2 separate regions of the Mus musculus genome follow, and region 1 is reported to be linked to region 2. Evidence: microRNA targets listed by miRTarBase, many of them from high-throughput screens and not tested one by one. Region 2 holds a microRNA gene; the other region holds the end of a gene's coding sequence.

Region 1 (3,402 bases), not on the chromosome of region 2:
ACACCCCCCCCAAAAAAAACCAACCAAACAACAACCCAAAGGTCATAATACAATTTTAGTCATATAAAATTATGCAAAAGAAAAAATCAGGCTATTAGGAACTAAATTCTCAGCTGGGGCTTTTGATTTTTTTTTTTTTTTTTTTGTCTTTATTGCTAACAGGAGTATCTTAGTCAGAGTTTCTATTCCTGCACAAACACACGACCAAGAAGCAAGTTGGGGAGGAAAGGGTTTATTCAGTTTACACTTCCATACTGCTGTTCATTACCAAGGAAGTCAGGACTGGAACTCAAGCAGGTCAGGAAGCAGGAGCTGATGCAGAGGCCATGGAGGGATATTCTTTACTGGCTTGCTTCCCCTGGCTTGTTCTTATAGAACCCAAGACTACCAGCCCAGGGATGGTACCACCCACAAGGGGCCCTTCCCCCTTGATCACTAATTGAGAAAATGCCCCACAGATGGATCTCATGGAGGCATTTCCCCAACTGAAGCTCCTTTCTCTGTGATAACTTTAGCTTGTGTCAAGTTGACACACAAAACCAGCCAGAACAAGGAGTAAAAGCTTAGAAAGGTCTGTGAGTGCAGACTTTCTCTCCACGTATCAATATCAGGTGACACAGTCCATTACATGTGCACAGAGCTCTTAGTCTCAGTGCTAGAGGCTGAGGTAGGAGGGGTGTGAGTTCAAAGGCAGCCTGGGCTGCTTTCCAGTATAGCCTTGAATAGCCACAAGATCCTAACACACACACACACACACACACACACACACACACACACAGTTTTACTGTTAGATCCAGGAGGCTGACCAGTGTCCAAGATGATTTGGCCTGGCCATCCTGGGCCCCTAGTGCAGTCTGCTGAGTTCCACAATTCATGCAGAGCTCCAAGATCGTGAGTATGACACTTTTATGCTGCCTCCTAAACTGGGTTCTTAGTCTGTGGTGCCCCCACCTCCACCCCAAAGACCCAATTCTGCTGCTACTTGGCTCAAAGAGCTTAAAGAACACAACAGGAGAAACCCAAGGGATGGTATTCTGGGAAAGCGACATCTTTATATAAATTATCTTTATTTATGTGGCATACAAAAGGTATAAATAGAATTCATGTAAAACCTGCACACTCAAGCAGAGTCCATGAAATGGGAGTATACAGCTCTCTAGGCTGGGCAGAAAGTCATAGCCCCACCCCCTTCAAGTGGAGACAGAGAGCAGTTTTCACTCAACAAAGGTGGCTCGTCTGGGAAAGCAGAGGTGTGTCAGGTTTCAGAGCACATTTATGAACAAGGCACTTGATGGGACGCCTGCCAGAGGCAGAGACAGTGACATCTGAAGGGACAGGCAAGACACTGGCCTTAGCACAGGTCTCACCTCCCAGATCTCACGCTGTAGTCGTCACACAGCTGTGAGCATGGAGCAACAGGATGCAGGGATGCAGGGACCTCCTCCATACAGGAAAAACCACGGAGCAGTTGCCAGTTTGAGAGTGGGGGACCACTGAATGTAGACCCAAAGTTTTTGAATTCTTAAGTTCAGGTACACTGTAGGCTGGGGACCTTGAGGAATTTGTCATGATTCGCTGGGAGATGTTCGAGATGTTCAAGATCTCAAAGACTCAGCATGCAGGGCAGTGTCTCCACTGGTGTGGGCCAGGTTTCGAGGCTGGAGGACAAAGCTGACAGGCAAAGCCTGTGGAGTGTCGGCGAGGTGACCTCCTCACCAAGACTCTTGCTGCCTCTAAGGAGACACTAGATTAAGATTCCAGAGAGCAAAGATTCCGAAGATCTGGCCACAGTCATGCTTCTGAGATGGCTGCCCACCAACCTACTCTGAGAATAAGCAAGAGGCAGGCTGGGGACAGCAGAGCCTTTCAGACCCACGAACAAACTAGTGTCACATGTCCCAAGATGATATATGACACTCTGCAGCCATAATCTCCATGAGGCAAAAGCTACCAAGAGTAGATTCGGCAAGAATTCCTCTTAAGAGTCTGTCTATGGCCAGGCACAGTAGTGTAAGCCTTTAATTCCAGCACTTGGGGGGCAGAGGCAGGTGGATCTCTGAGGCCAGCCTGGTCTACAGAATAAGTTCCAGGATAGCCAGGGCTACACAGAGATCCATGGGAAAAAAAAATAAAGTAAAAATAAAAATAAAATGTCAGTCTGCTGCTACTGAAAAGTAAACCACCCCCCGCCTCTCCACATCTAGCCTGGAAGATGCTCCAGCCTTGGAGGACAGGGACACAGCCAAGGCAGGCCTGCGAACCAGAGTCACAGGCCAAACTAGGCCAATGCCCACTTTGTAAATAAAGTTTTATTGGGACACAGCTACACTCTTTGTGCACCAACTAGTTATGGCTGTTTTGTGCTAAAGGACCTGACTGGGGTCAGTGCAAGAGACACTATCAGACCATTGGCTGAGGAAGGCTGCAGGCTCCTGGGCTAAAGGCATCCAAGGGAAAAGCCCCCTTTTGAAAGGGCCTTCAAAACAGGAGGCCCAAGTATTAAATCATTAGAACCTGATTCTGTTGGAAGTGCCCGAGCACATGAAAGCTACACTCACCACACAGAGTCTGTTGTGCGATCAGGAGACACCAGTGTGCCTGGGTGTCTACTTCCCTGTGCTTTAAGCCATCTCTCACACATGAGAAGTTGTAATCTATGACCAGGTCTCTGAAGTTCAGAGAAGGCATGAACGAGTACGTGGAAGCATGCATCCATGTGTGAATGTGTATGCATGTATAAACAAACACACACATGCACATTCACACACACACACACACTGGATCATTCACCAGAGGGGCAGAATGTTGCTCTTCTTGTGCTAGGGCAGGGGCAGGGGCAGGGGCAGGGGCAGGGGCAGGGGCAGGGGCAGGGGCAGGGGCAGGGGCAGGGGCAGGGGCAGGGGCAGAGGCAGCAGCTTTCTGCTCTTGAAGGCTCTGTGGTGAAGAAATCCCCTGCTTGCTGCTTCTCATTCACACGCCAGCTTGCTGTCAAAGCTGGACAGCCCGATGGCGAAGGCTTGAAGTGCGCACAGTGGGTAGTTATAGTCCAGTGTGAACACGTCATCAGCCACGCGTCCAAACTGCATGACGATGTAGTCAGCTGCAAACAGAAAGAGATGAACTCCTTAGAGCCAGTTCTCAACCTGTGGGTCGAGACGCCTTTCACGGGGCCCGCATGTCAGATATCCACGTTACGATTCGTAACAGTAGCAAAATTACAGTTATGAAGCAGCAGTGAAAATAACCGTATGGTTGGGGGTCACCACGATGTAAGGAACCGATTAAAGGATCGCAGCATTAGGGAAGCTGAAAACCACACTGTGTTGGTGGTCAATGTGGTTGTACTGGGAGGTAGGTGTGGGTAACAATAGGCAAATGGGGGAGGGGGGGACAGGGAAATGG
Region 2 (3,402 bases):
TAGACCAGGCTGGCCTTGAACTCAGAAATTCGCCTGCCTCTGCCTCCCAAGTACTGGGATTAAAGGCGTGCAAGAAACAAGAAACAAGAGTTTCTTGTTAGGTGGGGTAATGCAGAAATCCCAATTCCTAGGAAGGAGGCCTGAGTGTGGAAGTGGGGCTGGGGGTAGGAAAATGACAACTGGGTCTCAAAGCTCTGGTTTCACTAACAGACTTTCATGTCCTGGAGAACTTAGTCTTGAGGTGTGAATTAAAGTAAAGAAAGAAGAAAAGAGAAAAAGAGTGTAAGTACGATAGAGAAGAAGAGAGAAGAAAACAGAAGAGAAGAAGAAAACAAAATGTCTGAATTATATAGGGAAGAGCCTCTGGGGGGGCGGGGGAGGGCAGTCCAGCTCCTGGGCTAGAAAGTTCAAGGTTGGGGGCAGAGTATGCCAGGTAGGGACTGAGGAATGCTGGGAGAACCTGGAGGCCAGGTCTGCTTTGATGTGTAAAATACGCACCTCAGTCCTGCAGTCTAAACCAAACAAAGAATGCTCCTAGTGGGTAGAGAAGTGGTTTGTTTTTGTAGATAAAAGGGACAATTACAGGCAGGGGCAGGGGCAAGGACACCTAGGAGTCTCCAGAGTGGACATGACCAGCAGACTAAGCCAGGCATGAAGGAAAGGGGAACAAGAAAAAGAAGACAAGCCGGGCGTGGTGGCGTACCCCTTTAATCCCAGCACTCGGGAGGCTGAGGCAGGCGGATTTCTGAGTTCGAGGCCAGCCTGGTCTACAAAGTGAGTTCCAGGACAGCCAGGGCTACACAGAAAAACCCTGCCTTAAAAAACCAAAAAAAGAAAAGAAAAAGAAGACAAAAGAAAAAAGGAGCATCTAACCAAAAAGGTTGGCCTATATATGAACCAGAGAAGCTGCAGGAAGGGAAAGCCCAGCCTAGTTCCTTGGCTAGAGAAGTTCAGGGTAAAGGACAAGATATGTCAACAAGGAGGACCCTGTTAAAGGAACTGAGGGATGCTGCGAGAACATGGCAGCCTGCGGCTTCAACTTTGATAAAGGAATAGGCACCTCAGCCATTTGTCCTGGGTTTAAGACCTTACCAAGTTGAGTTCCCAACTCTTCCCCCTCCAGTTAGCTAAGCAGCCTCAAGGTTACCCCAACCTAGGAATGCAGCAGGAGGGGAAAGAGCCTTCAAGCACAGGAAGACAAACTGCACTGGCATACCCCAGCAGGTGCCAGCCCCCTTATCTGACACCTGTCAAAGGAGCCTGCAGCCTGAGCTCAAAAAGAAACAGGAGTCACCACTGCTAGGACAGACTTCATTCCCGCTCATCCATCCACCTGCCCATGTATCTGTCACATGTTCATCTACCAGTTTGCCCACTGCAGAGCATCACTGAGCAAACATCATCCCCCCAGAGTCTCCCAATTTAGGATCTCCCCAACACCTAACCCTCCAGGGTTTATTTCCCAATTCCAATCAGCCCATCAAGATCCCAGACACCAGTCCCATTTCCCCAAGGGGAGTAAGTGACAAGCAAAATCTGAAGGGTTCTATCCTCTTTCCCATCCCTGATGGTGTTGTTTGGCCCAGCCACAGTGACATTCATCCCCCGGTGGGTCTGGCTGCCTCCTCACAACCCACCGACAACAATGAATGTTAATTGTGACCTTTGCTGTGGCCTGAGGCAGGGGATGCTGCCTGGGGCTCTCCCGGGTCTACAGGGTGGGGATGGGGTAGACGGGTGGCAGTTCCAGGCCTCGGGGTCCACTCAACGGTCGATGGTTTGTCTGAGCTGCCCAAACTCACCGACAGGTTGAATGTTCCCCCAAACCCTTGGCAAGTTCTTGGATAACTGGAGTTGGGAGAGTAGGCCAGCAAGGCAGAGAGCATGTGGGACGAGAGAGAAACCAGGGTCCCCTTTGACTCACAAAATCAGCCATCAGTTATTCTTTTTTGGAGACTCAGAAGAAGCAGCACAAATACAAACCATAATGTAAAAAACGCAGCCCCTGCAACAGAGATGATAATGTGCCTGTCTCAATTCATGTGCTATATATATTCAAGGGATGCATTCACAACTGATATCTCAGCACTCTGGAGTCTGAGGGTTGGGATGGCCTTAGTAAGGTTACAGGCTAACCTGACCTAAAGAGTGAATTCCTGATGAGGGCTAAGTACTGTGATAAATAAAATCCTCCAAAGCATTTCTGAGAGATACAAATTCCCCTCACTGGTCAGTTGGAAAGACTGAGGCCAAAATACAAAGTGGGGATTTTCTAGCCACCATTCTGGGAACTCGGGTAGGTCATCAGGTTCTGGTCTGGGCCTGGGCTAGGCATAGGGCAACTGAGCCGTAAACAAGTTACTTTTATACAATGTAACAGGGCTTCTCCAGCAAACTTGAGATAAATAAGGCTTTCAATATATTGTAAACTTTTCCACCTTCCCATGGTCACTAAACTTAGTTTGACGGTTTCTGAGACCACCACTGCCCTACCCAGTAGAGCAGTGAGCTGTGAAAGAAGGCTATACACAGACACACCCCACCCCCACCCAAAGGCTTCTAAATGGTCGGGAGGGGGAGTGCGGGGGGGGGGGGGGAGGCTTCCCTTTTGCTTTAACTGAGCTCAGAACACCTCAGAGAGGGAGAGGTGACCCTCAAGGATCTCCTGAAGTCACACAAGACAGATCAAGAACACTAAATGTAGTAGTATGCTTGTGTGAAACTCCTGCAGGGTTAGCACCGGCCTGTGCAGTACCAGGCCACCACTGCAGACTTGCCCTCCAATTCAGGCCTTTGACAGGGTTCCCTATGGCCCTCCTACAAACCATCCCTTTTAGATCTAACGCCAAACTCAATCACCTGAGAGCTTAGGTCCTACCCCCTGCCTAGCACCTCAGTGTGGTTCCAGGGCACCCCTAGAAGTTCCCTAGAAGTTCAGCTCCTTTTAAGGGCCACCCCTACCTACAGACCCAAACCTGGCCCCTGGCTCCAGCAAGACTTAGGAAGCACTATCTCCCGGTAGAGCCCTAACCCTGCTTCCTCAGCCCAGGGCCCGGTAACTGGTCACATTCCCAGCCCCAGGGGCCCTCTCTTTCTGGCCATGGATTAAGAGGTCCTGCATGGGAAAGGCAGGTCTCCTGCTTTGGTAGCTCTCAGCCCTGAGGAAATAAAGGTCTAGACTGGTCAGATGAAGATGAGCTGGTCACAGGCGCTTTGCACAGACCACCACTGTGCCCCTGGGGAAGGGCCTGCTGCCAGTTCAGAACAGTTTTAGGGGGTTCCTGAAAGCTAAAATGGAGGATTATGAGGCACACGGGACACTCTGGGCAATGCGGGCCATCTTGCAGACACCCCTCTTTTATTCTGTAAGTCCACTTTGCTTACTTCCCCTGCAGAACTCTG

Evidence for each region. Region 2 holds the annotated microRNA mmu-miR-181d-5p (AACAUUCAUUGUUGUCGGUGGGU, at 1,632-1,654, opposite strand). A microRNA usually pairs through its seed, bases 2 to 8, with sites in the 3' UTR of a target mRNA and lowers its output. Matches are read on the target gene's strand: a 7mer-m8 pairs with bases 2 to 8, a 7mer-A1 pairs with bases 2 to 7 and ends in A, and an 8mer does both.
Region 1: miRTarBase lists Tulp3 as a target of mmu-miR-181d-5p. Seed matches in the 3' UTR shown: 7mer-m8 at 2,757-2,763.

The regions. Positions count from the first base shown.
Region 1 is chr6:128,320,113-128,323,514 of GRCm38, forward strand. Tulp3 (tubby-like protein 3) reads right to left here. Exons shown (of 11, transcript NM_011657.2): 11 at 1,049-3,100. The coding sequence ends at 2,967. Among named protein-coding and RNA genes, the nearest start is that of Tead4, 21 kb to the left of the region's middle.
Region 2 is chr8:84,177,128-84,180,529 of GRCm38, forward strand. It overlaps Mir181d (microRNA 181d), which reads right to left and starts at 1,660; the gene lies at 1,589-1,660. It overlaps Mir181c (microRNA 181c), which reads right to left and starts at 1,834; the gene lies at 1,746-1,834.